4 linked regions of the Arabidopsis thaliana genome follow. The protein of the gene in region 2 interacts with the protein of the main gene of each other region in a pairwise test. Each region holds a gene or a part of one and is shown on either strand. Other genes may lie near its edges.

The links.
Region 1: the proteins of SCAR2 (region 2) and RAC2 interact in a two-hybrid assay, tested with the Arabidopsis thaliana proteins (one study listed by BioGRID).
Region 3: the proteins of SCAR2 (region 2) and ARAC9 interact in a two-hybrid assay, tested with the Arabidopsis thaliana proteins (one study listed by BioGRID).
Region 4: the proteins of SCAR2 (region 2) and ABI4 interact in a two-hybrid assay, tested with the Arabidopsis thaliana proteins (one study listed by BioGRID).

The regions. Positions count from the first base shown.
Region 1 is NC_003076.8:18,639,635-18,647,537, reverse strand, and holds RAC2 (RAC-like 2), read right to left. Parts: upstream 3,999-7,903; 5' UTR 3,778-3,998; coding exon 3,679-3,777; intron 3,358-3,678; coding exon 3,270-3,357; intron 3,185-3,269; coding exon 3,075-3,184; intron 2,955-3,074; coding exon 2,891-2,954; intron 2,303-2,890; coding exon 2,238-2,302; intron 2,160-2,237; coding exon 2,094-2,159; intron 1,894-2,093; coding exon 1,780-1,893; 3' UTR 1,562-1,779; downstream 1-1,561. Other genes in the region: AT5G45960 (GDSL-like Lipase/Acylhydrolase superfamily protein), read left to right, coding at 7,219-7,513, 7,600-7,730. UniProt on the Arabidopsis thaliana protein: Inactive GDP-bound Rho GTPases reside in the cytosol, are found in a complex with Rho GDP-dissociation inhibitors (Rho GDIs), and are released from the GDI protein in order to translocate to membranes upon activation.
Region 2 is NC_003071.7:16,092,232-16,102,927, forward strand, and holds SCAR2 (SCAR homolog 2), read left to right. Parts: upstream 1-3,003; 5' UTR 3,004-3,318; coding exon 3,319-3,473; intron 3,474-3,651; coding exon 3,652-3,815; intron 3,816-3,898; coding exon 3,899-4,022; intron 4,023-4,110; coding exon 4,111-4,240; intron 4,241-4,425; coding exon 4,426-4,487; intron 4,488-4,609; coding exon 4,610-7,925; intron 7,926-8,005; coding exon 8,006-8,092; intron 8,093-8,182; coding exon 8,183-8,290; intron 8,291-8,566; coding exon 8,567-8,620; 3' UTR 8,621-8,990; downstream 8,991-10,696. Other genes in the region: AT2G38420 (Pentatricopeptide repeat (PPR) superfamily protein), read left to right, coding at 1-223; AT2G38430 (uncharacterized protein), read right to left, coding at 719-814, 896-1,165, 1,260-1,367, 1,535-1,615, 1,700-1,856, 1,942-2,110, 2,279-2,579; AT2G38450 (Sel1 repeat protein), read left to right, coding at 9,785-10,093, 10,252-10,321, 10,415-10,452.
Region 3 is NC_003071.7:18,425,620-18,432,432, forward strand, and holds ARAC9 (RAC-like 9), read left to right. Parts: upstream 1-3,501; 5' UTR 3,502-3,656; coding exon 3,657-3,791; intron 3,792-3,876; coding exon 3,877-3,964; intron 3,965-4,209; coding exon 4,210-4,319; intron 4,320-4,419; coding exon 4,420-4,483; intron 4,484-4,588; coding exon 4,589-4,653; intron 4,654-4,748; coding exon 4,749-4,814; intron 4,815-4,915; coding exon 4,916-5,017; 3' UTR 5,018-5,263; downstream 5,264-6,813. Other genes in the region: AT2G44670 (senescence-associated family protein (DUF581)), read left to right, coding at 1-54; CKB4 (casein kinase II beta subunit 4), read right to left, coding at 1,279-1,412, 1,581-1,746, 1,817-1,926, 2,012-2,230, 2,325-2,547; AT2G44700 (Galactose oxidase/kelch repeat superfamily protein), read left to right, coding at 5,396-6,502. UniProt on the Arabidopsis thaliana protein: Inactive GDP-bound Rho GTPases reside in the cytosol, are found in a complex with Rho GDP-dissociation inhibitors (Rho GDIs), and are released from the GDI protein in order to translocate to membranes upon activation.
Region 4 is NC_003071.7:16,794,049-16,800,670, reverse strand, and holds ABI4 (Integrase-type DNA-binding superfamily protein), read left to right. Parts: upstream 1-3,085; coding exon 3,086-4,072; 3' UTR 4,073-4,424; downstream 4,425-6,622. Other genes in the region: AGL48 (AGAMOUS-like 48), read left to right, coding at 6,343-6,622.

The sequences.
Region 1 (7,903 bases), on a different chromosome or scaffold from region 2:
TCTTTTTTCTCAAGTATGAACGCCTTGCATATAGATTTAATCTGAAACAAAACTGAACACATACAATGAATGATTAAACAAAAATGAATGTAAATATTTTAAGCTTAAATGGTTCATGTTGATATGCAATGAGCTGTTCGTAGAGTGGGCTTGTTACATAGGGAGACAAATATTTTGTTTTCTTTTTGACTTACGGTTTCTAATTTTGTCACTTTTACCATTGCTACACACTACCTTTTTTTTTTGTCCAATCCCCGCCGCTTTAATGATTATCAGATTGGACACATTTTATTTTCTTGATACTAATCCATCAAACCATCGCAGTCGTCTTTTAATAACTTTTATAACTAACTACAACAAAAATGTTAACGACGAGTTAGACCTATATAATTATTATGTATTGACTGGTGATTGTTCATATCAACGTGGTATCTTATGAAAGAACAATCTATGATGGATGCATCGTTAATGAAGCCTTTCTGCAATTATGTAACCTTGAATGTTTTTCTGCAATTACAGGGTTGATGATGATCGACTTCCTATGAAGCAATGTGTGGCGCCTCCCTATCTCATCCTATCGCATGATACATTATCTATTGTATTGTTCTAGCTCTCTAACTCTTCATTTTGTGAGTCTTCTTTGCTTTATCCTACAACTATCCAGTTAAAGTTGTGAGGTCTGGTTGCTTTCAAAATCGTATCTCGTTAACAGATAGACTTTTCTTGACAAGCTTGCTTTAAGGTTGGCGGTCTTTATAAGTTTATGATCCCTTCCATCATGGTTGTCTTTCTACACAATCTTTTATAAACAATTATTTGTTAAGTTGTTAACAAGAATGTACGACTATGTCTCAGTTTGTTGGAGAATTAGAACTCGTAATAGTATTTCTATATTTGCATTTGATTTTTTTTTTGTGTGTGGCTTTGGTTTTCTTTAATTGTAGAGTATATGATGAAGATGGTACTGAACCATCATACTCTTCAATGAAAGAGCCTCCTATCTAGCAAACAACGTTCTCTCAGTTCTTATTGTGGACTACCCCAATGTATAAAACTTTGTGTGTTATGGTATAGGTATGCTAGCTTTTGAAATCTTTTCTGAAACAGCTGAGTTTTTGCAAGGAAATGGTACCATTTTTTAACATTGAACGTAAGAGCCCTTGAGTTCTATTTTTCCCAGAAGATAGATTACTTAAAGGACAAGATCCAGCCTCAAAGTAAGACGGGTAATTAAGGTATTATAAGTGCATAAGTATATTTTGCTCAGGTTATACATTGGACATATATAAGAACTGGAGCATGAACGTCACATTTGTTTATGTCTTACTCATGTAGAAAGAGTGTAAGGAGTTTCAAGTGAGGATTAATACAATTTTCTTATCAATAAATTGAATCCACATTTTTTTAGCCAAAATTTTAAACTTGAAATTTTATTTTTCAAAGACGAAAATCTCATATTATTGATTCAAACTTGTATCCATAATTTTTTCATCAAAAAACATTACTCTTTAATTTTTTTTGCTAAAAACTAGAATTCGCAAATTGTCACCAAAAAGCGTGATTCCACAATTTATGGGGAAAAAATATCAATCCTCAATTTTCTTGCCAAATTACTACTATTTTACAAATTTCTCCCGAATAATGGTAACATGATTCGACAATACTCTCGCCAATAACGTGATGAAGCAAAGTCCACTATTTCAAGTAGAAAATATTCAAAAAAATATCAAAATACAAGTATATATAAATGTTTGTTATTTATTGAAATCTGTTCAGATATTATAGGAAAAAGCATATTCTTGATCTCTTAGTCTTCAATGGTTTTATCTTTTTCTTTGCCTTTGGTGGCCTCAAAGCTACCCTTATCGCTGTATCAAACACTGCCTTCACATTCTATTAAACATTCACAAACAAAAAACTTTTTCAGTTTATTTAATTTAACTTCATTAAGTATTTCAATTTACTATATATATATATATATATATATATATATATATTTGTGGATTCAAATTATTAGTATGAAAATTTTGGCAAAAAAACATTTGGAGCTGCACTCTAAGTACCTAAATACATGTTGAATTTACTCTAAGTACCTGTTGGGTTTTGGAGCTGCACTCTAAGTACCTAACAGCTCCAATCATTTTCCTTAATTCTTCTCCCTGTTACTCAAATCCATTCATAATTGTTTATGAATTTATTTTTGTATAGATTATTTTTTAAAGATTTGTGTATGGTACCTGAGCAGTTGTTATAGAAGCTGCTCCTGGATGATCCTTCAAGAACTGCTTGTCATCCCTCAAATCTATATTCATTTTTGTGTAACATTATTGTTTTGAATAAAAAGATATTATCAATAACACAAGAGATACCATAAATCAAATGGAGAAATGTATTAGCTTTTTCAATATAAGTTGTTGAATAAATGTTAAATTGGGCCACTATTCATGATGCCATTAACGATCCAAGTGGCTATATCTTCCTACATTTGAACATTTTTCTGCTATTAGATGAAAATCTAACTGTTTTTATACAACTATCGAATTTGAAAATGTTATTCTTTTTTCACATGTTTTTCATTAAAACTGTAGCATAACAGAACAAATAATATAATTTACTGGCCTGAATTAATTAGGTAATTTTTCAAAATACATTTACTATAGGTGTTATTTTCTAAATAACATATTATTTAGTGATATCTCAATATTATTCAGAGTGAAAGAGAGTGTATTACTATTTGACGAAAAAGTAGCTTCTTGTAGAATTTTTTTCTTTCTTTTGCAAATGAAAAACGTATGATCTGCGGATTATTACTCAAGACCATATCTAATTTGACACAAATGTTGATAAATTAAGTTTCTTTATGAACTCATAAGGGGAAAGTTTTCGTTACCTAATTTTGTTCCGACGAGCACAATGGGGATGCCAGGAGCATAATGTTTCAGCTCCGGAAGCCACTATTAATCACCAGATTAATTAATCAGTCAGTGTCAACAAATTTTTCTAGAAATACTTTATCATATAATCATAGTTTCTTATCTATAAAAAAAAACGGATGGAAAAACTTTTAAAGTTACCTTTTTGTGAATATTCTCGTAACTGGCCTTGCTTATAAGGGAAAATGCTAATAAGAAGACATCTGCTCCTCTGTAACTCAAAGGCCTAAGCCTATTATAATCTTCCTGACCTGTAATTCCACAATAATAACTTTTATCGTAACTAGCATTCATTAATAATCAGTTTTAGTATAATCAAGTAATCATACGGCGTACCGGCAGTATCCCACAGGCCAAGGTTCACGGTACTCCCGTCGACCACCACATTTGCGCTGAAGTTGTCGAAAACTGTTGGAACATAATCCTGTAAATTAGATAGTTAAATCATTTATATATCAAAAAACATACATTAAACCATGTTTCTTAAGTAAACAGATAGCAAAAATCCAGAAGCATGGGTTTGAATTCAGCTTTAGATATATTTCACGTTAATGATTCTAGGAAAAATATGCTTAAACGGATATGGAAATATAAACGCAAAAGATGAAACTAGGCTCTTATTAATTTGCCATGAACAACGTTTAAAATGAGCAAAGATCTCAGGAGCCTAACATAAATATCTTAAAACATCAATTTGAAAATATATCTGGATATATATCAAGTTTGCTAAGAAATTAAAAGTTACCGTAGGAAACGTATTGCTGGTATATGAAATGAGCATACAAGTCTTTCCCACTGCTCCATCTCCGACAGTCACACACTTAATGAATCTTGCTGTGCTCATTTTCTTTGCTTTTGTCTTCAATTTCTTTTATTTTTTTATGTTTATGAATTTTGTGAATGTGTTTGGGTTTTATGTTCAGAAGAGAAGAGAAGTGGTGGAAGGTTCTTAAGAAGCTTTTGTGATGATTATAGTTGTTTATTGGTAAGGAGGATGTCTCTGTTACAACTTTCATTGATCATTATTAGTTGCTTATTCGTAAGGGAAGGAAATTTGAAGCAAACATACTGAAACAAATACCAAATTAAAGAACTGGTTTTGTATATCATCATATATAATAAACCGAGTAAACCAAACAACTCCTCACTGAAACAATTGAATTATAATCTTCTTAAATAAATACAAATATTAAAATCATGTATTGAAAATAGTTAAATTTTATTATTACATGTACTCACTAATTTGTATTTCTTTCCAAATTTGATCTGACTTTTCTAACCAGGTCCAAAGCAAAATGATATTTAGCAGAATCGAAACAAATTTTACCAAAAAGCTGAAATATTGTTCACCTTTTGCCTTTCATATATTGGTTTGATATTTTTAGTTTAATTAAATTAATGAGTTAAAATGATTAGGAATTGAGTATTTCTTTAACTTCAAGTGCAAGATCATGCGGTCACCGAAAGTGATGTAGCCGTTTGGTGTTGGTTGTGAGTGGGTTTTTAAGTGTTGGAGAAGGAACTCTCATCTTACTTTCTCTAGTGTTTTTACATTTTCTTATAAAATCTTTTTCTTCAATATTTTATGTTTTGCCTTATTTGATTCATTTTAACAACATTCAATAATGACATGAATTGGCTTACATATTACGATTTTTTTAGTGTGTTCAAAAATACAATTTCCATCTGTCTTCTTCGTCACCTCACAGTTTTTTTGACGTCATCCAACACTTTTGTTTTACGTTATCCAACAATTTTCTTTTAAAGAGTATTATGCATGAAACTCTCATGCAGATATACGATGATTTATAATACTTTCTGAAATATGAATGATCAAACATTCATGGCGAATCCAAAAATACTTTTTTGGGACGTAAATAAAGTTTTTCTTCGAGGGGAATATATAAATAAAGGCAAATTTTTTAACTCAAATACAAATTACACTATTTATCAAAAACTGAATCAATGTATGTCCCCATATATAATGTTGATATTTACTTTCTTTAAAACCTTATTATAACATTTTTTATTATTATTATAATAACGTAGCTACTGTTACCTGAGTTTATAGAAGTACAGTTTGGTGCTTCAAGTAGTATCATACGTAAATCACTTCAAATATAAGTTACCAGTAAATTAGAGGTTATACTGCGTAGAGCAAAAGTTTAGGAGCACTAATGTAGTGAAAGTCTTTCTTTCCTAACAATTGAATTTGTGTGTCTCTTCCTCATTATGCATTTTTTATATAAAATTTTCCATTGATTTAAAATAGAGCATAATATTAATAATATTGTACTGTTCATACATTTTAAAATGGGATAAATGAAAAAATAGTCAATTTTTCAAACATATTTAGAAAACTAGTTATTTTACTATTCACAATTTGCAAAGTAGTCACTTTTCACTGTTTGATTTGTACATTTAAATTTGTACAACACTTTTAGTATACAGATGTAAGTGTACGCTGTGTATATCTATATACATATGTATACTAAAAGTATTGTACAAATCTAAATGTACAAATCAAACAGTGAAAAGTGACTTTTTTATAAATTGTGACTAGTAAAATGACTAATTTTCTAAATATGTTCTGAAAACTGACTAGTTTGCTAATTCAGGTCGATAATAGATAAAAACTTATCAAAATAAGCCCACTAAAAGCCTCAACTTGAACCTAGAAGTATCCAAAGAAGAAGAGCCCAATAAGCCTCAAGTATCTCATCTTGAGATGTAACTTGTAAGAGCAATCATCGACTTCTCCTTGATAGATCAGATTAACAAAAGGAAAATTAGAGTTGAACCATTCACTGAGCTAGCTGATTATAAGATCAGAGTGACGAGACTCTAGCTTGATCTCTCAACAAATCTTTTTTTATCCCTATTACTGGTTCCATTGTATAATCGAATAAAACAGGTTGACAAAAAAAATGCTATATAATAAAATAAACTAAGTAGTTTATCCGCATTATATGTAGAGTGAAATGATTATTATGTATAGTTTTAGTTATATGTATGTTAATGAAAGAAAAAGAAAAAAAGTCGAACGAACAAGGAATCTAACTATTCAAAGGTTTTATTTTGCGTCACAAGAAAAAATAAGATGTATCTTAACACCGTACGTATACTAGTTATGAGCTATCCATGTCACTATTAAATGTGTACCTAATACCTGTAAAAGATTGTTTGCCTGATTCCTTGATGAAATAATCAAATCACTTGATCCATTTTTAGGTATAAAGTCATGTAGTAGCGTTAATATATAGTTAGCTCGAAATAAATTATTTAAACAAAAAAAAAAAGATATATGTAGTCATAAATTTAATGAATACCCACAATATACAGCATCACAACATTTAAAGCATTACCTAAATAATTTGAGATGGAAGTTAATGTTTCCTGCAGATTAATTAGTGTTTGTTTCGTGAAAATCTCGGTTCAATAAAAGAGAATACTACGGATTTGAATGGTAACTTCGTAGAGTTTTAATAAGGAATGTACGGTTTTGACATTAACCAAATTACAAAAACGATATCAATTTTTTTATTATTAAAAACGTTATCCTCAATATTTTTTTACAGCTTTCATGTACCATTGTTTTATACAACTTTGTACTATTTGGTTAAAAATTACCAATAAAAGCTAAAACATTTGTACAACTTTATATCACCAATGGGAGCCTACATCTTCCAAAATTAAATTATACATTTGTACTATGTACTTTGTGTATCATATTTATTAAAAATGTGACTAGTTCATGTTGAGCTTCGATTATTGAATTCGTTTTTCCACCTTTGAAATATGTAAGTATAGAACATATTTTGTGTGTTTGCATATATAATTTTGGGTTCAGATGCATTAGTTTTGGATTTAAATTTTTCTGAAACAAATTAATTTGTACATTTCATGATTGTCGTTAGACATCATTTTTTTTTTAATATGACGGAAGTTATGTTTTTTTATCTATTAATAAAATCTAATAAATTAAAAAGCTATCCTGTTTCATTCTTTCTTAAATAATACTAACGTTAATGTTTTTAATCGGTTCAATTTGGAAAGCACTAATTCTTTCTAGCATAAAAAATCTAATTCCATTTTCTTTGTCGAGTTTTTTTTAATCACTATTACTTCAGCTTTTTTTAATGAACTTTTGATTGAGTTCGATCAATTAAACTGAAATAGACAACCCCTATTAATTATGACTGTATATCTTAGTATATAATGTGCTAATACACTTGAAGGTACCAACCAGACTACTCATTTGTCTCCACTCCAAACTTTCACAACAATGAGAAGTCATCACAGACATTTTTCTTCATATGTTTCCTTCATCCTCTTCCTATTCCTGTTCTTCATCTCCTTCTCATCCTCAACATCAAAACTCGAACCCGCAAAGTCTGAACCTAAAAGAAAACATTCAGTTTCAGCTATTCTCGTGTTCGGAGATTCAACAGTGGATCCGGGCAATAACAACTACATTGACACAGTATTCAAGTGTAATTTTCCGCCCTATGGACTCGATTTCAGAAACAAAACTCCGACCGGTAGATTTTGCAACGGTCGACTCGTCACAGATTTTATCGGTTAGTGTTCATATATACAACTGAAATATATTCACTATATATATTGAACCTAATAACCTAAACATCATATATATATTTATGTACAGCTTCATACATTGGTGTGAAGGAGAATGTGCCACCGTATTTGGACCCAAATCTTGGAATAAATGAGTTAATAAGTGGAGTTAGCTTTGCTTCAGCTGGCTCTGGATATGATCCTCTCACTCCAACCATAACTGTTAGTGTCCGATCTCAATCTCTTTTCTCTGTTTTTAAATTTTTGCATAAACAAGAACGTAGAAAAAACTATATCTATGCATCTGGATCGTTATTTTATTATTACTATAACTATATTACTGCTAATGGGACTTCCAAATATTTATGCTCAAATATTATGATTGTTTCATAATT
Region 2 (10,696 bases):
AGAGATGGAGACGAATGGAGTTAACCGGAACAGCCACACATTTGATATTATGATTAGTGCATATATTGAGGTAGACGAGGTTGTTTGTGCTCATGGTTTATTGGAAGAAGCATTTAACATGAACGTGTTCGTTAAGAGTTCGAGAATTGAGGAAGTCATTAGCAGATTATGTGAGAAAGGTTTGATGGATCAAGCAGTCGAACTTTTAGCACACCTGGTTTAAGCAATGTGGAGCATCTCTAAATAGTTGTAAAATTGATGTATTTGGTCTTATTGATGATTGTTAGAACTTAATAGAAGAGTGATTAGTTTGCTTGGCAAGACTTTCGAAGTAGCTTGGTTCTGTTTGTTCAACGTTAATTGCACCAATTGTTCCACTGCTATCACTGAAACTTACCTTTAACCTTAATGTATACAAAGTTGACACATCCATCAAACTTGACTGTGATAATTGGGAATCTTTCAGTGTATTGTGTACTGCTTGGATTCCGATTATAGCTTTTAGGTAAAAGAAAATTTCAGTATGCAATGAGTCATTCATACACCATGTTCACATAAATGAAAGGACTGGTAACAAAACTTAACTTCTGTTTTTCTTGACACACACAAGTACAATCCTTGATAACCTTAAAACAACATTATTGTACCAAAACACAGTAGAAAGTAAAAGAAATTAAAAAGAAACTTGATAGAACAAGCAACATCATATGGTTCTTCATCATGTAAGATAGGCATCGCAATGCAAGAAGTCCCATATAGTTCCAAGAGCATCTCGTAGCATCTCCAAAACACAACCCCTCTCAGTGTTCTGCTCCTGCAGACCACAAGTATTATCACCATAAGCCTCGCACTTCCATTAGAGTTTCTAAAATAGTACAAGAGCACAATAATTTACCTGTATTTTAGTGTCGATGTCTTTAAGCGTCAAACTCACCTCCCTCTTGGTTTCCCCTGTTCCAGTCGTCTCATTGAATCTATCAGTCTCTCTTACCCTAAGCCTTAGAGTTTTATTTTTGTAGATAGTAGCTCTAACGTGACAAACTTCAAATTCTTTGTATCCATCTTCAGATAAAGCTTTACCAAACGGCCACCTTAAACCGCCTTTTACATTTGGATCAACAGTTGCTGATTCCAATAGCGCTTTAATGTCACCTATCTCTTTATCCTGCCGATCAAAGAAAGATCACACAACCTAAGTCTAAGAAGAGCATATTATTTATCCATATATTGTAAAATATATATACCAAACTTGAACTTACACTGAGATACGTTATTTCCCTCTTAGCGGTGAGCGTTAGTCTCATGTCGAGATTCTTATCAATGCATGACACATCAACAACCAAATGCCTTACAGGATTAAGGTCGACCTATATAAAAGCAAAACTCAAGATTCAAAGTTAGATATTAAAGGAAGACCAAGTAAAAATGTGACATCTATCAAATTCTTGTTTGTTTTTCTTGCTAGTCCGAGAACAATAAAGAAGAGATTTTACTATTGGTTGTAGTCACTACACACATAAAACTCGAGACTTGCCTTGTACATACTGAGCCGTCCATCTTCCTTACGGGTACATTTACAGTTGATGGTTGCATTAGGACGAGAATAATGCGATACCTAAAAATAGAAGCCAAACCCAAATTAGCACATTCAAATGACATTCGAAGTATAGATCTAAATCTAAGAAAATGAAACGAGTACCTTCACAGTGTATGTTTCCTTCTCCTTATCAATAGAGAATCCATGGCTTGGTACAACATTAGATTTTATGTGTTGTAAGTAAGACATTGGGAGATCAGTAGAGAACATCTTATTCAAGTTTTTTAGTGAACATTCAGCCACAGGACCAGCTTGACTCCTGGTTTAAAGTTGTATATGTTAGAAAAAATATAAACCCATTCCTGAAAACAGCAAAATGTGAGATCAGACGGTGAATCGCTTACCCATAGAAGAAAATTTTACCAAACCGAGCAACCAGTCTCGATACATGATGATGCTCCTTCATTTCAGTCTTAACTCGCTCATATGCCAACACAAGATCCTCCATAACCTTCTCAGCTACTAATAGCCACTGAGTTCTCTCATCCTTCCTCTCTCCAATATTCATATTCACTGAATATAAACATATAAAAAACCATACTCAACATAGATACAATGCATCTTCTTTTGGCAAAAACGATAATAGCACAAACAAAATAGTTAATAGTATTGTTTATTTCAGCATCTAGATGATATTCATTTTGTCAAACACATAGCCAAAGTCTACTAATAGTTTCTTACCATTTTGGACATTGTTGTTCATCAGTATTGAAGGCTTTTCTCCTTTTCTACACTCGACAGAATCTGAGGACAAGGGCACAAACTTAACATACGAAGGAACATCGTCCTCAATTCCATTTGAACCAACAAGAAACCATTTGGAAATGGAATCTCCTGAATAGATAATCTTGTTGCGTTTAACACTGCTAGTGCTACTCTTAAAGTCAAGGTTCTTCTTGAATTTTGTAACAAGAGAATCTGGAACAGGGGTAGGCTTTGTCGGATCCTTCGAATGCCTCTTATGTGGTGGAATATAAGACATGTCTAAACCTGAAACTCACAACAACATCAACCAAAAACGATTTCAAGATAAAACAAAAAAATCTCAAACTTGGAGCTCAAATAAGAATTGCTTTACAACGAGCGAAGAAGAATATAAAGACAGAAACTTTAAGGTGAGAAGAGAGAAGTCGAATCATACCTGTAGGCTGTAGTCGAAACTCAACGTCTTTTAATATTCCTGCAGAGAAGTAACAGTGACACTCAAATAGACTCTTCGCTCCCTTTTTAATCTTTCAATTAACTCTCATCCGTTTCTCAAAAATGACTTTAATTAGATTGTGTTTGGTTTCGATAGGGATCACAATTGGACAAACCTCAAGCCTGAAACTATCAGGTTCCCGAGGGGTTTGGTCTTAAATGCAGGTTTTATTGCAACAAGGTTTTGGTTTTGTAAGAATTTTTCACTAAAAGTAACAATTTTTTAAGTATTTCTGGCTATCGAAAAATAGAAAAAGAAATGTTTTCTTAAAAAGTCTTTTAGCGTTGAGGTTCTCAGACTCTCTCTCTCTCTCTTTGCCCCTACCTATATCCGCCGTCTTGAATCCACAGAAAGTCCGTTTTAGTTTCCAGCTAAGTGATGTCGTCACATATCTAATGGTGGTCGGTCACTACTTAAATGAAGACAGAGAAGCTTTTCTAGTCTTCTTCTTTCTAAAGTTCTTACCTTTAGAATTTGAACAAAAGTATCAGCGAGCTGATCAGACAGAGAAGCTCAAACAATGCCGTTGACGAGGTACCAATCTCGTAACGAGTATGGATTAGCAGATCCGGATCTGTATCAAGCTGCTGATAAAGATGACCCTGAAGCTCTGCTTGAAGGAGTCGCTATGGCTGGTCTCGTTGGCATTTTGCGTCAACTCGGTGATCTCGCTGAGTAAGTTTCTCTCCAATCGAAATTTCTCTAATTGATCTCTAAGCGCATCGAATTCGAAGTTTTGGAATCCGTTGTTGTAAAGCGACAATTTTGATGAATCTGGATTTGGTTGTGGAAGTGGAAAAAGTTTTGATTTTTTGATGGAATTGTCTTTAAATTCATGTAATTTGTGATGAAGGTTTGCTGCTGAGATGTTTCATGACTTGCACGAAGAAGTAATGGCTACTGCTTCTAGAAGCCATGGTTTAATGGCTCGTGTGCAACAGTTGGAAGCAGAGTTTCCTTCTATAGAGAAGGCATTACTGTGTCAAACCGATCATTCGCCGTTTTTCTCTAACAAAGGTTAGATTGCTATGAACATTCATGATCTGGTCAGCTACTATGATGTTGGATTATTTCAACATGATTCTGTGACTCTATTTCAGGTGTGGAATGGCATCCGAATCTACAATTGGAACAGAGTGTGGTTACAAGTGGTGACTTACCTCGTTGTGTGATGGATTCTTATGAGGAATGTCGAGGTCCTCCAAGGCTATTTCTTCTGGACAAGTATGATTTAGCCTTGTTTGATAGGACTTCTTCTTTAGTCGTTTGTTAGAGAAGGATATATGTAACATCTTCTGATGGTTTTGATTAGGTTTGATATTTCCGGAGCTGGGGCTTGTTTGAAACGCTACACCGATCCATCGTTTGTTAGGCTTGAAACGTCTTCATATGAAGAATCATGGGATGATATTCAGAGAGAGAAAAAATCACAGAAAGCAAAGGTACTAGCTTCTTAGTTCAGGTTGTAGCTTATGGGTTGCAGTGTGATCCTTCTTGGTTATATTTTGGTTTCCATTACATGGTAGATTTTCTGAATAGTAGATTTTCTTATGCTCATGGTGTTTTGAATGTGTAATCTTACCTTCCATTTTGTGATTCTCATAGTTTTCCTTCTATTCTCTTGTAGAGGAGAGCATCTCAGTGGAGGAATGGAGGGACACCTGAAAATGCATTATCATCACATGCCAAGTGAGTATTATCTATTTTATGTCTTGTGTGTTTGTCATTTCTGTTATGATATATATGTAGTTCCTATATTGGTATCTGACTGTGACTAAAAATGGCTGGTTTCAATTATTCAACTGGCACAGATTGCATGAATTGTTTTTGGAGGAGCATTTAGAGGCTCATCATTCAGATCCAGCGCGCGTTGTGAAGTTGAAAACCAGAAAGCTAGATGGGTGTTCCCTTATTTCAAAATCAGGGGAAAGCTACATGGAGAAATTTGTGCAGACACGTGTAGATAGTAAGATAAGTTATGAAATAATTACCCAAAACCCCGGATTGTTGACATGGAATATGGATAGTGCTAGAGATGTAGTAACCGATATACCTGAAATCAGTATGGTGGGTGCTATGGATAAGTCTCATGGAGGAAGCAGAGCAGAGGTTTCATTCCCAAGTGAGCAGGAAAATGTGGCAAATGTTAACATGAATGGGGGTTTTATTGAAAAAGATATAGAGACAGTGCCTGAATCTACATACAATGAGGTCCGTGGAACAACTATTACACAGGATTCACAAACGGTTTTGAACGGGAAGCCAGGATTTTTTCAACAGAGGAGTTATTCTGAAGATTTAACCAGTGAGGCTGACAATTATGTGGACGCACCAGCCACCATGGAGTCGGAAACAGAAACAGACGATGAGTGTAGACCTAAGAGTAGATCAGATACTTTGAAGGATGGGAACCATCATATATATTCTGATGCGGTTGAAGAGAGAATGGAGGACCCACCTCAGTTTTCATTTTCTCATTCAAATGGAAACACACCAGTTTCGGAAAATGGGCGAAGCTCGTTTGGGAAAAAGAGCACTAGTTATTCTTACTCGGACACTGCAAGCATATCCATTGATGATCAATCTGATGGAGAGAAACTTTCGGGATGTTTACCTTCTACTTCTAGTTTTAAGAGTGAGTTGGTGGATTCTATGTCTCACGTTACTCCTGAAGCCAACAAAGTGTCTCATGACTTGAATGTTCAGGAATCAGTTAGTAGCAGCAATGTAGATGGCCAGACATCATTAAGTTCGAATGGTACATGTTCAAGTCCAAGGCCAGTCTCTCAGAATGATCAATCATGTTCACTGACAGTTCAATCTTTAGCATCAGAAGTCGTTGAAACTTCTCCAGAACTTGTTAGGCTTGATCTAATGAAGGGAGGCAATGATGGAAGAAAGGTGGATCCATTCGATTCTTCAAAATCTTGTGCATCTTTTGATGCTAAAAACTCTGACTTGCCTTCTGAAACTTCATCAATTAGTTCAACTTCTGAAGGAAGCAGATGTGATAGTACCATTGAGAAGAACTGTATGGTTGCTTCAAATTTAGTAAACTCAGGCACTAGTCCTCAAGCGTTTGTTGATAGTCAAACTGGTAAACAGTTACCTATCGCTGATACTGATTTTGAGACAAACTCTATAGTTGCTTGTTCTGAAGTTTTAGCAAACTCAGGCAGCGATCCTGAAGAACGTGATGGTCGTTGCCTAACAGGAAAGCTGGTACCTTGCTCAGCTGGGGTGGGGATGGAAGTTTCCCCTGATACGCCCTCTAAAGTCTGTGGTCCAAGTTCAGCTGATGGAATTCACTTAAAAGATACTCTGGATGATGAAACCGATTGTGTTTCAGTGACTAATGTTGTTGTTGACGTTGATTCTAAAAATTCTGTTGCCGACGTTGGTTCTCAAAGTTCAGTTGCTGACATTGATTCTCAAAGTTCAGTTGCTGAGATCTCCGATGAGCATTCATGTGCCTTTGGCAACACGGCTGATGTGTCTGTTTCAGAGTCCCATGAAGACACACTAGAGAATGGAATGTCCGTGCCTTCTGATTTTAACTCGGGAGTAGAGAAATTGGCGGGAGATGCTTCACCTACTTGTAGCAAATGCGATGACCATATCTCTCATGAAGGTTTTCATGACCTTTCAGGGCTGGACAACGCAACCACAGACATTGTCCCGAACGTTGAGCTTGATGTGTCTGATAATGACAATGACACTTCCAGTGGTGGTGTTAATCATGCCGTTAGTCTGTCATCGACTCGTGGGAAGGGTTCTCTGCCTTGGATTTCGACCAATACTTATCAATCGTCTTCTGATGCTGGAGAGATTTTCCATGATACAGTTGTAGAGTCTGACGGGACACTACTGGAAGACAATAATCCAGAGTCGGAAATAAAAATGCATAAAAGCCCTCTGGAAGTGTCTTCAGAAGGTCTGAGTACTGAACCAGACAACAAGGACGTAGAAAGTATTGAATCTACAAGTCCCAAGCCATCTCTGGATCAAAGGAACAGGGACACAGAAACCAAATCTCCTGGTGAGAGCATTCTTGATGATAATTGCATAGATTCCACACAAGTGTATAATCTGAACCTTTTAGAGAGTGAGGCTATCGACCAGGCAGTTAGAGAGCAAACATCTTATGCAAGCCATGAAGTTGCAGATGAGGAATTGCTGCAGTCAAATGTTTTCAGGGGCTTAGAGTTTGAACCACAATCAGCAGGCTTAGAATTTGCACCACAATCTGCAGGTATAGAATTGAACAGACCTAAGCAAGAGTTGAATCTGGATCCTACTTTTCCTAGCTTTGGTTTTATCCCTGAGACTATTCCGCCCAATCCAGAGGACATGCCACCCCTTCCTCCTATGCAATGGCTTATTGGAAAGGTTCCACATTCTTTTCCTACCTTCATGGGGGAATCAGTCGAAACCAGTAGTTCTGCTTTATCAGCGGCACCACCCATTGGTTCTAGCTTGAATGTTCAAATTGGGTCTCCACCATCAGAGCTATCTGTATCTTTAGGAAGTGACGAATCAGAACGACTTCCTGGAGGGTTTGTTCACAATGCATCAGAAAAGCCATTGCAATCATCCATTCAGTTCCCAACCATGAGCACTGATTTGAATAGTCAATACGACAGTTCTGAGCTCCCTACAATACCTTATCAGGAGTGCATAGAGGATTTTGGTTCTGAGGAGAACAATCTTTTGGCTGACCATGCAGCTCAGAACCACGAGCTCGTTTACTCTCAAGCGTCGTCATTGCAGCTGCCTCAGGTTAAACACGAAGATTTCAAGGACGATGCTGATGTGCATGAATCTCAAAGTTCAAGCGATGATCACCATTGTCCTGAAACCAAATCCCTGACGCCAACTCAATCAACAAAGGTAGAAGATAAGGGTCATTCGGTTCCTGATGCTTCAAATGCAGAAACTGCAGAATCATCAAACACGTCAGTTCAGAAGATAAATCCTGTTTCAGTGGGAGATGCTATGTGGCCTGTTAGCTGTTTCTCTGTGGCACCTACCTTGGACACATATAAGACAGAAGTGGTCCCTACGGTTAGGCTTCCTAGGCCAAGAAGTCCGCTTGTCGATGCTGTTGCAGCTCATGACAGACGCAAGGTACAAAATTTCATCTTGTCTGCAATACCATGCCTTTGCTAAGATTATGTCTCTAATCACTTGTTCTGATGATTTGCCAGATGAAGAAAGTCTCTGAGATGGTCCATCCACCAATCAAATCAAAGCAAGATGACAAAGATTCGTTGCTTGCACAAATACGAAACAAGGTAGCACATGTTGATCATGTAAAATCCCAGATGGTCCTGTGAACAGAATTTTGTATTTGGAATTTTATGAGTTGTGTTTTGTTTATGCAGTCCGTCAATCTAAAGCCGGCAGTAACAACACGACCCAGCATCCAGACTGGTCCTAGAACAGACTTAAGGGTAGCTGCAATCTTAGAGAAAGCAAATACAATACGCATGGTTCGTTACTCTCTTTCCATCTCCTTCAAAGATAGTAAATGTTTTCAAGTTTTTTCACCTTTTTCTGTGGTCCTTGCTAATCGTAGAGGCTTCATGTCAAAGCATTTCAATTTGACATGAAAATCTGAGGAGTTTAGTCTCACATTATGTCTTAGATTGGATCCGAAGCAGTCTCTTAAGTGGAAACAATGAATTATAAGCCTGATCATAGACCAAATAAAATATCACTTTTTCTCTATCGCACACACATCTAAAACCGGTTGAACACTGGTGCAGGCAATGGCTGGAAGCGACGAGGATGAAGATTCAGATAGTTGGAGTGATTCTTGAAATCGATGATCGTTGGCTTTTCCGTGGTGTTCGTTCTTGTATCATGATGAGTGCGCAAGCACTTGGAGTCAGGTAGGTTATACAATCTCTATTTCAGACATATAACATTAAATACATACAGTCATTGGTTATTTATATATGTATGTATGTATATTGTGTACTGTTTTATAGGTGTGTGTATGTTGTAATGTAAGTAGATTCCGAAATTTGCAGTAGTTTTACGGAAATTTGTGTGTAGGAATGTTTCGTTCTTTTTTTTAGCTCATAGAACATTCTTTTAGTAGGCTATGTATGTGTATTTGAATACATACATAGATATGTATTGTGTGTTCTCAATCATTTGCAGTGTCCTTTGACTGTATATTTGGTCATTTGGATAACGAATATCTATGAGAATCAGCTAGTTAGTGCACTGCACACACTTCAAAGGTAATATTTGGTTTCTAGAGGACTGAAATGATATGATGGTTTGCTTGCTTAGTACCAATAGGATGATCTTCACAAAAATCATTTGCAGGCATAACTGAGTTTCAATTTGAACCCAAATAGAGTAGTTGGATCGAGAAGGAGGATTGGAAGTATGGCAATCCTCAATCCTCATATGTAAATCAGTTGGAAGCCTACTTAATACTTGATCTCTATTCTCGGCTGGCACCACCTGTATCCTGTCTGAATACTTGATTATCGGGATCAGACCACATCGTCCGCGCAAAATACCACCCGGAACAGCACCACCATAAGCAACAGCCTCGACCGGGTTCACACCTGAGACGTTAGGGCTAAAAGAAACTATATGAGAGTGAAAAATCCTGAGATATCATTCTTGATTACCGTTATAGTGTCTGAACTCAAAACCTTAGACGAACTCATGCTACTAAAAAAAACAAGGAGACGAGAGCGAAAGAATGCAATTGTGAAGAATTTATGATGGCCTTTATATAGACAGAGCTCTTTATTCAGTAACCGTTATGAAATAGCAAGGAGCTAGTCTTAATTTCTAGTGGGCTAGGGAAAAAAATAAAAAAATTCTAGTGGGCTTAAGAGCTAGGCCCATAAGATATTTTAATATTATTTTATACAATGAGACCAAACCAAAACCAAACAAGAGATTGAGAAGAAAACCGATTTTTTCCTTTTATTTATTTTTATGTTTATAAATTAAAAATGGGAAAATCGATTCCCGTCAAAACAGGGCTAAGAGGAGCTTCCGCAGCAGTAGCTGGATTCATCAAATCCTCAAAACCGATCCGACCCATTTCCTCCATGGACAGTTCCGACAAAGATTCATCATCCACCACCACCACCAGCGAAACTACACGACGTTTCGTTCCGCTTTCATCGGTGGTTTCTGATTGTGCGAAGCGGTGGTTTAAAGACACTCTTGAGGAAGCTAAAGCTGGGAACATCACTATGCAGGTTTTGTTAGGTCAGATGTATTACTCTGGGTATGGAGTCCCTAAGGATGCTAGAAAGGTTTCGTCTTTATTCCCTCCCTTTCAATCTCTTCTTTTCCAAGTTTTAGGTTTTTTTAGTTTGGTTGATTTGAAAATTCTCTAATTTGATTAGATTGATTTGCAAGTTTCTTCTTTTTTAGGTTTTTGAATTTGATTCTGTGTTTTATTAATGATTAGGGGAGACTTTGGATTACGAAAGCATCAAGAGTTCGTTCTTCAGTGTGGAAAGTGATAGATAAACGACCAGGTCTTTGTTTTATTACATGTCAAAATTGGTTTATCAACAAATTGGTTCTTTTTTGCTTTTGGATATGAATTTGTTTTTTTTGTGATTTCTCAGGTTACAACGCAAGTGATTCAGATTCAGAGTCTGATTAGCATGTCCTGATCGAGAGAGCTTGTGTTTGTTCTGTTTTGTTTCAATCTTGGATGATCCAAGTTCCAACAATGAACAATATCTTCTCTCTGCGCATATCTTTTGATGCTTGCTAATCATTTTGTAGCTCTATTACTCAAATATGTCTTCTTTTTTTATTTTGTTTAAATTTTGGTGAATGCCTTTGCTCACAGTGTATGATTATTCTAGCAATGAAAAGGAGTTAAAAAAGGTACTCGTATTGTT
Region 3 (6,813 bases), 2.3 Mb from region 2:
AAAGAATCCGCCGCCGGAAACACCGTACGGACAGGAACTCTCGTCGTGGCTTAGTAGAAGCTTCAGTTACATAATCAAGCAAATAGTCTTTTTTTCTTCTATATAAATACCTTTTTGTCTAAAATCTATAAACCCTCCTAAAACCACTTATATCTCCAAAGCCTCTAAAAGATTTGCTCTGTTTCTATTGATCTTTCTATGGATCGGAGATAACTAGTTTTCTAATTCCGGTTGTCGGAATCTGAGAAATTGTAGATCTGGTTTATGTAAATGAATGTGGAGTTTTGGGGGCAGAGAGAAAGAAAGATGCTAATAATTTTGGCTGTGTGATGTGATGGTTTTGTAATCTGGGGTTGAAATTTTGTTCGATGTTCCATAATAAACAGAGCATAACAACTATGTTCTTAATAAATATAAATTCAATTTCTGTATCTGCGTGTGATCGTAATGGTGTCTTAGAAATCGACAAAATTTATTCAAACTGGTGGTGTTAAGATTTGTTGGCTTTTATAGTTATTCGCATTGAACAAATTAGTCAGTTCGACTGCTCTTGGCGGTATGCATTTTACGGCAGGCAACTAACTAAGAACTCCGGGGAATCTTTTAAATGTGTAACAGTGACAGCTTTTTTGGGCCTTAAATGGGCTTCTCAAGATCCCATATATTAGGTTAAGACATTGACAGTTCCCACTTTCTATGAAGAATTTGATATTCAGAACCAAAAAAGAAAACATCTCTTCCTCTGTATAACTCAATGATTGTAGTCTTCTTGACCTGTAACTTTACCAGAGCTAGACCGAGTTTCAAGTGTTTATATCTTTGTATTACAGAATGTCAAAATCTGGTTTTCATTAGGTTCTTGTTCCATCTATCTTTTGTTTTCAGATTTGTTTTGGTTAATAGTGATTGAAAAATGAAGATTAGTTCCGTACAACACAAGAAACTTAAGATAAGTAGGATACACCCTAAATTTTCAGCAATTATAGACAACAGTTAAGCAAAGCAAAATCCATCCATCTGGTAAATGATTTAATTGATTACTCACAGGTAAAGAATTTCCCAAGACCCATCAAAGAACGGTTCTATGTTGAAGATTCTACTTAGAACTTTTGAGATTACATAGTGAAAAACTTTTAAGTGTCGACCTTTCTTCATTAGCTCTTCTCATCCTCCAAACGCAGTTTAGTATCATCCATTTCAAACCCGTGACCATCAGAAGAATGGTGGTTTAGCCACCGAGATTGTATTCAACCACAAGACTGTTGAGAGGAGAGAGTATCATTGTTTGTTGTGTACCTTAAAGCCAAAGATCTTAGGAACGTAGTTTTGAGCCGGCTTCTGCGGTTTCATGTTCCCATAGGCCATGAGAAACAAATGAGGGAAAGTAGTTCCAAAGTAAGCTCCATCAATGTCTGCAATAAGCATTAAGGAAAGAACACTAAGACAAGTGGACAACACTCTTTATCTTCTAAAAGATTTAATGCAAACAAACTAGCTAATCGCAATGTTTAACCAAACAATAGCAGATGCATCATATTATGACAAGATAAAGCTTTTTTGAACAGAGGAGCAAAGGATACTGCCTTGGTATTTAGATCGCGGGTAGTAAATATCCTCGCATTTTGGGCAGTATATCTTCACAGTGCTCGACCTCGGGATATCAGATTGGCCAACCGGAAGACAAGACTGTCCGCAACAGAAAACTCTGGGGCATCTCCCGAAATCATAATTCTTATACTTCTCCATCTACAAAAGAGAAAGATATCATTCAAAAGATCAATCAGAAACAAAGATGTAGAAGAAGTATCTTGCTTACCATAGCAGCCATTCCTTTAGTAGTGAGAATATAACGAACATGAATAAGACCATATAACATCTCAGCAGCTGATTCCACCATCTCATGCTGTTCTTCAGTAAACATATCACCTAATCCAATAAACATTCCTCCAAATTATACAACAATTCTCAGACAAAGTAAAGCCTAAATTCATCAAATGGACCCTTCACTTACCATTTGATGATTCAACATCTAAAATGAGATCAAGTGCATAATCATAGTAAGGAACTTGACCACTCAAACCACAGAGATTGAAATCATCTTGTATATAATCTTCATCTACTTCACAGAAAAACTCATTCCCTCTCAAATTACAAAACCATGAGATCCAAGAGGTATCATCACCTTCTGAACCACTCACATCTGATCCTTCACTATCCGTGTCAGATTCAACTGCATCCACAAAGAATCAAAATTTATTAATACCCAAATCAGAAAGTACTAAAACCACATGAAATTGAAATTGAGTGAGATATAAGCAATTAACCATCGGGGGAACGAGAATGAAGCTGAGATTTAGCAGTTGAAGTAGAAGGGACAGAATCTTTGTCCTTAGAAGTGAAAACCCTAGATGTAGAAGGTGAAGATTTCTTAAGATGTTTGTCTAAAGCATCATTGATTCGTTTCCGATCAATAGCTCCACCAAGGATCTCCGATCTCGATGATCCACCACCACCCATTATTCCTCCTCCACTCCGATCCTTGTACATAACTCGATTCGATTCCCTCAATGAAAAAAAACAAAATTTTTCAGCTTTAGATTCTCAAAGTCTTCGACTTTCTTATCATCAGAGGAAGAAGAGGGGCGGATAAATCTAGGGTTTGTTTTTTCTTCGATAGTTTGATCACAGAGTAGAAGAAAGAGAGAAGAAGAGATAAAGAGTGCTCTGCTTTTCCCTGTGGTTTTTTCTCATTCTCTACTGTTTTGTTTTCTTCTCTTTGTTTTTTTTTTTTTTTTTAATCATTGTTTAATTTTTTAAAATTCTAGTATTTAGAAATGGGCTTTTCGGATGGGCCTTATGACACTGACAGTTGTAATACAAAGATTCACGTAGAAGGAAACATTTTTTTGTACTTAAACTATGATTCCAAATTATATCTTAGGAAGAAAGAAATCATAAAATTCATTTTTTTTTGTATCAACACGGTAGTAATAATGGACTTGCCTTTCCATCTTTGTTAATGATGATGTGTTTGGTGGTCGATCCATTGTCCAAACTTAAATCGAAAAAAAAAACAAATGATCTAGAGATAATTAAAATTACACATCTTGTAAAATTAGTCATGTAAATGTAACTGAATTTACAAAATTTGATTTGATATAACCACCACTTATTTTCATTTTGCTGAAACATTTGGACCTTTGCATTTGCATTGATTGGTGAAAAAAACAAAGCACTATAATTTGTACAACTTTCATTTCTACCAATTATAATTTTTTTTATCAAAAGCGTTACTAAAAGATTTTTCTCTCAGCTTTTTTATACATTTTTTTTAATATAACTGTTTTTTAGTAATTTTATACTATTTCAAAAAAAGTTAACAGATAAAAGTTATGTACAGCTATGTGTTACCAATTAGAGTTTTTTTGGAAAGAAGTAAAATATGGCAAAATCTATCTAAATTCAAAAAATAGGAAAGAAATCAAACCCACCGAATAAAAAATTATTTTTAAGGCGTTTTGGCTCTCTGACAGCTCAAATTAAAGTTGACTCCTTTTTTACCACTCAAGTCTCATTCTCATTCTTCACTTGAACCAGAATAAAACCACAGAAAGAGAGAGAACAGGGTAAGTAAAATCAGAGAATTTTCTCAATCAATGTCAGCTTCAATGGCTGCAACATCAACATCATCAGCAACAGCTACAACGTTTATAAAGTGTGTCACTGTTGGCGATGGAGCTGTGGGCAAAACTTGTCTTCTTATTTCCTACACCAGCAACACGTTCCCCACTGTATATAAATCCATCTCTCCCTCTCTCTCTTTTGGATTGCTTTTCTTGATAGCTTTTGGTGACTGTTGAGATCTTGTTATTACAGGATTATGTTCCAACAGTGTTCGACAATTTCAATGCTAATGTTTTAGTCGATGGTAAAACTGTCAATCTGGGTCTCTGGGATACTGCTGGTAAATGCTTTTACCTAATGTCAAAGTTGTTCTTGTCTTTAGCTTTATATCTACAACAATATGTCAAGGTCTAATCTTTTGGTCCTTTTAAAAGAAGTCAGTTGAAAAATTTGAATCTTTGATGCAACATTGTTTTGGTTCTTGAATTCACTATCAGATTTTGCTCATGTTTCTTCAAAACTTAAATGAGACCAATTATGATTCTTGTGTTATATATCTTTTGGGTGATTCACATTATATTACAGGTCAAGAAGACTACAATAGGGTTAGACCATTGAGTTACAGAGGAGCAGATGTTTTCATTCTTGCCTTCTCACTTATTAGCAGGCCTAGCTTTGAGAACATTGCTAAAAAGGTTGAGACTTGAGATTATCTTTCCTTTTACTTTTAATTTCACTGTAATTTAACTTTACAACACTGATCTCATGTGCATATGGATCGGTTTTCTTTCGCAGTGGGTACCCGAGCTGAGACATTATGCCCCGACTGTGCCTATTGTTCTTGTGGGAACCAAATCAGGTTGAAGATAATGAACCACTCTGTTATGTCTTGAATGTTAGGAATCTAACATCAATGTGTAAGTGATGTTATGTAGTATATAAGATGAATTTCTTGATATTGCAGATCTAAGAGACAACATGCAGTTCCCAAAGAATTATCCAGGTGCTTGCACAATCTTCCCAGAACAGGTATGTTTTTTTAAAGATTCTTCTTCAATGTATATGATCAAGAACCATGTTAAGAATCAAACTCTTTTATAACTCAAAGATTGCTTCTTTTATAGGGTCAAGAACTAAGAAAGGAAATAGGAGCATTAGCATACATAGAGTGCAGCTCAAAAGCACAAATGGTAAAGTAACCATTAATGCTTGAGTTACATTTTACAATTAGACCAAATATTTTGGACCTCAATCTGATAAAGAAAGACTTATGATGATGCTAAATTTGCAGAACGTAAAAGCCGTGTTTGATGAAGCGATCAAAGTAGTTTTACATCCTCCTTCAAAGACTAAGAAGCGAAAGAGAAAGATCGGTTTATGCCATGTTCTTTGACTAGTGTACTCAAGTCTCTGGCTTTGGTTTGTTTTACATCTTTTTTAGTGTGTTTCTTCTATGAAGGACTCTTGCAGATTTTAGTATGATTAGCTATCTTCGTTATAAAAGTTTGATCTTGTAGTAGAGATTCTTGTAACAGAATTATAAGCGAATTCTCGTCTATCAGTCTATGTAAAAGAACAATGTTTGTCTTCTTTGAGTTCAAGAGACAACAACAAAGAACCGTTTTAGCGCAAAAAGAAACAAAATAAACCGATTGAAACAGAATCGAAGAATAAATAAACCGGGTTTTGTTTTTTGGCTAATAACCGAAACCGAAATAGAATAAATCAATAAAATCTCAATTCTCTAGTCTTCTCCTTTAAACTAGAGTCGATGTCTAGCTCCAACGAACCACCGCGAAAAACCGACCAACCATCGTCGTCATCGGCATCGGCATCGGCATCGCCGTCATTGTTTTTGTCACTGCCACTGGAAATCATTTCGATGATCTTAGCCCGCGTCCCAAAACGATATTACCCAATCCTCTGCTCCGTCTCCAAGAACATGCGGAGTCTTGTTCGCTCGCCTGAAATTCACAAGGCTCGATCTTTACTCGGAAAAGATTATCTCTATATCGGCTTCATCGACGAAAATTATCGCCCCGTATACGACTACTGGTACACTCTCCGGAGAATCGAGAACAGTACGACCGAGAATCTCTTCGAATCCATTGAGTTCCCTTATCCTTCCGAGCCTAATCGATTTTCCATGAACGCCGTTGGTCCAAAGATCTTCTTCATTTCAGAATCTTGTACTCCTTCATCAAGACTTTCGATCTTTGACACCCGATTTGGGGAGTTGCGTCAAGGACCTTGTTTGCTAGTGAAGCGAGGGTACAATTGCGTAGGACTAGTCGGCGGTAAGGTCTATGTGATCGGAGGCTATCAGGACGACGAGATTGCAGCGGAAAGCTTTGATCTAAATACGCAAACTTGGGAAGCAGCGCCGATTCCCGATGAAAAAGAAAGTCACAGGTGGATTTGTAAAGCAAATGTTTCATTTGACAGGAAGGTTTGTGCTTTAAGATCTCGTGAAGGCATGACTTGTTATGACACTAGAGATGGTTCTTGTCAGAGATCTGAGATGCCTAATGATCAATGGTCTAGAGTAGGATTGTGCGTGATTGACAATGTGCTCTTTGTTTACTTCTCTAGATTCGGGTTAATGTGGTATGACTCTAAACTGATGCTGTGGAGAGTGGTTTATGGTTTTGATCTTGACAACGCTCGATCAGTTGGAATCGGGGAATACTACGGAAAGTTGGCGTTTATATGGGAAAAACCAAGTCTTAATGTTAGTGAAAGCAAAGAGATTTGGTGTAGAATGATTGGTTTGCTTAGGAGTGAAGTAGGAATTCATGGAGCTGCAGAACCGTCTCAACTTGTCGAGATTGTCCCTAACGGTTATAGAATGTGTCATTGTCTGTCTCTTTCAGGTTAAAACATGTCTAGTACTACTTTCTTTGGTGTAAAATGATTGTTTTGGATAGGAGTGAAGTAGGAATTCATGTGACTAAAGATGATGATGTTTAATACTTTCGTTAGTCTATATCAATACAATGTGTTACAAGATTATGAATGTGTTGCGGCGTTTACGTCTTCAACTCTCGATTTATTCAATTAATGTTGCAGTTTCAGCATCTTCCTCTGTTCCACCTAATCAAGTTTGTGTTATTGTAAACTCACTCAGTTAAGTGTATTTTACATCGGAGTTGTTGTGTTGTGTTTCTCTTGCCCATTAAACCGATTCCA
Region 4 (6,622 bases), 700 kb from region 2:
CATTGGTTGAGAATTTCGTAAAGGTTTTTTGAGAATTCATTTTTTTTTTTATATAGACGCACACATAATCTTAGCTGTTGTTTAAAGTGCAGCCCACGGTTTGTAATCGTGGGCATGTGAATATTTTTATCATCTTGCTCGACAATATTCCTCTGCCGCAACAACCATTTGCTTTTTTTTATATGAAAATATTCAAACATGAACACTTTCTATCTTTCGAAACATATATTTGATCCGTTGCAGAACTTAGTGAGCAAAGCATTGAAATTCTTTGCCTTTTGATATAGTCATCATTTTAACTTAAGCATCTGGAAATCATTTGACTAAAAAAAAAGCCTTCAACAATGTCTCTTTAATGTTATCAAATGTTTGAGTCATTGTTATACAAAATTTCACGTGAATGATTGAGATTGGAATAATCAAGCTATATTGATTGATACTATATAATAAAGTGGATAAATGCAAGAAAATGAATGTATGGCGCAACTAGTTGGGTTCTGCTGAGACATAAAAAGGTGAGAGTTCCAAGGCAATTGGGTTGAGATCTCAGAAACCACAACACAAAAAGCTTTGGTTCTTTTGCTGTCTTTGCTTCTTTCCTCGCCACCTCATCTCTCCCATGCAATATTCCTATTTTTCTCTTCGTTTAATAATTGATAGTTTTGTAGTTGGCAAACAACAAAAGTAAATCCCTTGCAGACGAATCTTTAATTCTATATTAGTAGTATCAATGAAAAGTTTCTAAGTAAACTTGTTATTATGACGATAGTTCTAAGAGTTATGTTTTATAGATTAAAAGGAGTCATGTATATGCTACCATTCATAAGAACAATAGATAATTCAACAAATTCTTATTTTATTTATTTTTACTTTTAGTAAAAGAATATTAAGAAAATTTGTCTCTTAATTTCAATGGTATAAGATCTAAGAAGTCAAGTTTTTATTTCGAAAAAAGTCTAAACGTTAATGGTCTTCCATTTGTTATATTTGTGGGTCAAACATCATAATCTATACGGTAGATTAGTCTTTCTAGGCGACCAAAAAAATAAACTCTCTTCTCTTCTCTCTGTTTTCAAAATTCCTTTTCTTATAAAAAATGTCAGTTATATTTTGTTTTTAATATTTCTTAAAGTCGAAGCATACATAAATGATGACAAAAAAAGAAAGAAGAAGCGTACATAAATATCTACACTATAACTCCTCTTTTTAATATATTTATTTATTTATCCATTGACATGTGAGTATTTTAAATTTCTACATAATTCTTTTTTAAGATTAATAAAAGGTGTAGTATCCAAAATCTAAATCTATCGGACGAAGTATTTGACTGAAGCCAAGTCGTCTTCCAAGAATGGTGTTAAGTGGACTAAATGAACACATATATCTATGTAATGAAAGCAGAAAAATAATTACTGTGTCTCTCTGCATCTGTATTTCTGTCCCTCCAGTGGCTGCAGCAGGCAATGGATCTGCAACACTCTCCGAGTGCGCAAATCAACTTATTTTTCTTCTCCAAAATTTAACAAGTACTACTCCAGAAATATGATTCTAGTTTTTACTTATGTCCAAAAATATGATACGTGTTGTACCAGATGTTTTTCCTCCGATCCCTTAATTATATCTATGTTTACAATTTTATTTTACGTATAAAGATAAAACATCAAAAAAATAGTATCATAAGGTGATTTCCCAACAGCTTAAATTTTTCTCTAAGATCATAATCATCAAGTATAGAAGCTTCGGTTAAGTTCAACACTAAAAGTTAGATTAAAACCAAATTAGGGGCGAATATGGTTAGACCATCTCCAATGGTCACCTCTATAATTTTCTCTATTTTAGAGGTGCCTCTATTTTAGAAGCATTGTGCTCCAATGGTCACCTCTAAAATAGAGTTTCCTCAAAAATAGAAGAAAAATTAGAGATGAATTGTAGAGATCTCTATTTATAGAGACAAAAAGTAAATATTTCTATTTCTTCCTCTATTATAGAGAAAACTCTATTTTAGAGGTGACCATTTGAACATAATGCCTTTAAAATAGAGTCACCTCTATAAATAGAGGAAAATATAAAGATCACTATTAAAAATGCATTTAGATCTTTTACTAGGGTTGTTGGTAATGGTAGATTAATTACCTTGATCCTTTTTAGTATACTTATCTGTTAATGCTTGTTAACCACTTAAATTGCAAGAGAGTTGAACAAAATTGGGTAATTCATGCCACGCTTTGTAATTATTCATTGATTAGTGTTTCATTCTCTACAATTTATGGCTAATCAGCCCCCGTTAGCCGTTATGTAATGATTTATTCTAGTTTCATTGCTTGCCAACTTTAAACGATGCTTTTAATTCTTGAACTCATAAATCATTTTCTTTGTTATCTTTGTCTACTGTTTTATTCACTTGATCTTCTTAATCTTTTAAATTGCCTATCTTTTGCTATGTTTTTGTTACAATTTAAATTGACAAGTACTTAGAAAAACAAACAAAAATGATATCTCTGTTCCATCTTAGATTATTCGTTTCTTATTTCTCTTAATATATATTTTTGAACACGCTTATTTCTCTTATATATGTTGCAATATTCCTAACCTTGGTGAATTTGATTCAGTTCTCTCTGGTTGAATCCTCTGAAATCTGAATGCCTTGGAGTGTTTTCAACATGCGAGTATTTCTCACAATTACCCATCCAATCAAAGAAAAGAACCAACTTCAAGATATTGTTATATATCGCTCATGATTTGCTATAGTTACCCAAAAGAAAGAAAGCAATTAAATGTTTTTATAATATCCTTGATTACATTCCAATGTGTAACAAGTAACTTATGACAACACAAATTTCTTCTTTGGTAGAAAACAAACGGGTAAGTAAAAAGAAAAGAAAAAAAGAAGTGAGTGAGAAGAGAGTGTAAGTATAAATAAAAGAAGCACCGCCCTAATCGACCATTCACAACGATGACATTCAAACACTCTTCAGTTTCCCTTCCTTCTTGATTCGTCCTCTCCACTATTTTTCTCAATTTCTTTAATCTCTCTCTTTCTCTCTCTACTTCCTCTTCCTCTTCTTCTTCTTCTTCTTCTTCATCTATGGACCCTTTAGCTTCCCAACATCAACACAACCATCTGGAAGATAATAACCAAACCCTAACCCATAATAATCCTCAATCCGATTCCACCACCGACTCATCAACTTCCTCCGCTCAACGCAAACGCAAAGGCAAAGGTGGTCCGGACAACTCCAAGTTCCGTTACCGTGGCGTTCGACAAAGAAGCTGGGGCAAATGGGTCGCCGAGATCCGAGAGCCACGTAAGCGCACTCGCAAGTGGCTTGGTACTTTCGCAACCGCCGAAGACGCCGCACGTGCCTACGACCGGGCTGCCGTTTACCTATACGGGTCACGTGCTCAGCTCAACTTAACCCCTTCGTCTCCTTCCTCCGTCTCTTCCTCTTCCTCCTCCGTCTCCGCCGCTTCTTCTCCTTCCACCTCCTCTTCCTCCACTCAAACCCTAAGACCTCTCCTCCCTCGCCCCGCCGCCGCCACCGTAGGAGGAGGAGCCAACTTTGGTCCGTACGGTATCCCTTTTAACAACAACATCTTCCTTAATGGTGGGACCTCTATGTTATGCCCTAGTTATGGTTTTTTCCCTCAACAACAACAACAACAAAATCAGATGGTCCAGATGGGACAATTCCAACACCAACAGTATCAGAATCTTCATTCTAATACTAACAATAACAAGATTTCTGACATCGAGCTCACTGATGTTCCGGTAACTAATTCGACTTCGTTTCATCATGAGGTGGCGTTAGGGCAGGAACAAGGAGGAAGTGGGTGTAATAATAATAGTTCGATGGAGGATTTGAACTCTCTAGCTGGTTCGGTGGGTTCGAGTCTATCAATAACTCATCCACCGCCGTTGGTTGATCCGGTATGTTCTATGGGTCTGGATCCGGGTTATATGGTTGGAGATGGATCTTCGACCATTTGGCCTTTTGGAGGAGAAGAAGAATATAGTCATAATTGGGGGAGTATTTGGGATTTTATTGATCCCATCTTGGGGGAATTCTATTAATTTGTTTTTGTGGAAGATCATATTATATACGATGAGCATCCCTAAGGTCGGTCAAGAGCATTGGAGATTCATTGTTGAGAGGAATCAAAGAGATTGCATTCTATGAGGAGCTCTGCATGCAAAATTTTGGAGGATTTTTTTACTACCTATAGAGATAAATAAGAGGGTATTTTTATTATTTTTTTGAAGATTTTTATTTTCAAGGAATTCGTAAAAGAGATTACGGTTCCAATAAAGTATGTATATGTGGAAGAGAATCGGAGGAGATGGTGGAAAGTTGTATGGGAATTTTATTGGTTCAACACTTCCTTCACAGTGTGCCTACCTTAATATATAATTATTGATAGGATATGATAATTTCTGTTTGGTTGTTCGAGTTTCAGAGGTTATATATAGTTATATTTTGTTTATCTCTGAGAATATTTACACATATCTCTATTAAGTTTTAGTAATATAGGAATCATCAATGTAGAAACTATGGAGAGAAACACGTTTTCAAAAAGTGTTCATCACTGGATGCATAATTGTTGTCGTTGAGAAGATTATTTACATTATTCGAGCTGGGTATTCTCACACCAACACTTCATATTCAAGTTTACAATTTTTTGTATCGATCATCCTTCAAAGTGTTTGGACATGATTTTGTCCGAATCCTAGCTTTCTTTGACTAAAAAGAGTTCTCCGTTTCTGTATTTCCCTTGTCCTGTGATTTCTTGTTTACTATGGTGTTTATTGGAAGTTGACAAGAAAAAATCAATTTTATTTTTTGTTTATGATTATATTTCGAATCTTTTAACAGTATTATACAAAATTTAAATTAAAAATAATCCCATATCTGACTGGGTTATACATGAATATTTCAATATTAATAATTAATTTAATTTATAATAATTATATATACAAAACACAACAAAATAGATTATTATATTTTCATTTGTTATATGAAATCACAACACTTTTCTATATCTTGGTTACGTAATAATTTAAGTGCACAAATATGGGTATGGTGATTCATATACTAGATAGAGATTGACATAAACTTTTCTAGAACCGATTATTTTGGTAATCAAATCATACAATGTTGTTTATGAAAGATCACCAGACAATGTGGAATAAAGCTTAGTTTTATTGTTTTCCTCTATATCTTGGTATTATTGAAATCTGGCAAAGTAGTACCAAACCGAATCCAAAAAAAACAAAATCGAGAAACAAAGAGAGTTACTACGTACACAAAAGAAAACATTCAACCACAACAACACAACGATGAGAGAAAAAAGATCGCTAAACAAAGAAAAAGAAAAAGATACAAGATGTCCATTAGAGTTTTAAGAATATATTATTCTCTTATATTTTTCCCTTAAAAGTATTGTTGTTTCAGTTTTTTGTATAAAACAATTATAAACAATTCTCAGTTTAGAGTCTCAATGTAATAACAAGAAAACATCTGAAGTAAAAAAAACAATTTATAAATAAAGAATTCAAGAGTCAACTTTTATGTATACATATGGTAATACATATATATATATATTTAATTCATACTATGTAAATATGAAAATGATACTTACACTGAAGAAAATGTATAGTCAACATTTAGTTTCCAAAATAATTATCTAACACTATGAATTAATATGATTCACAACAATGAAAATAATGTTAGTCAATATAATCATTAGCATTAAATAATGACAGAACAATTAATTAAATCATCAATTTGGTATATTGACTAGGACCTAAATTTGGACAGAAATTCAGTTATTTCAATTTTCTGTAATAGTACAATTAACCACATAAAGATTTTAACATGTTAATGGTTTGATTTGGATTTTAGTTTTTGTTTACTAGTATTGTTTTTAAAGAATAATCAATGTAAAACCAAATCCAATATAGTTTGGTAAATTTTTAATTAGCTTTGAATTCAGTTCTTAAACTTTTACTTTTTTAGCAAAATAAGTTTCATTTTTAGTCAATTTTCTATGGTATTTATGATATTTGAAAATAACTTTATAACCAAAACATAGGAAAATTCTAGTTTTTGAGTTGATATTTTCAACTTGGTTTAGATCTAAAAGGTTTGGTTTAACTAAAACATTACCATAGACATTCAATATTTTTTAGTAAGTAGCAATTAATTTTACATCTTTTGACTAGTATCATTTTCCAAAATCTCATCTTTTCAACACTATTTAAACGGATTCCCGCGCTAATCTTCATTCATATGCTCAACAACATTTAAAATTTTAAAAGAGAGAAATAAAAATCGAAGAGTGATCATGACAAGAAAGAAAGTAAAACTTGTATGGATCGAGAATGACAAGTCAAGAGCAACAAGTTTGCAAAAAATGAGGGTAGGATTACTTAAAAAGGTGAAAGAGCTAACCATATTGTGTGCTGTAAGGGCTATTGTAATCATTTTCAGCCCCGATAAGGTTGGACCATTGGTGTGGCCATCTCCTCAGGCGACTCATGGTCTCCTAGACGAATTTTTCGCTTTACCGAAGTCCGTGCAGAAGAAGAAAGAGTCAAATGTCGAATCCTACCTAAAAGAGAAGA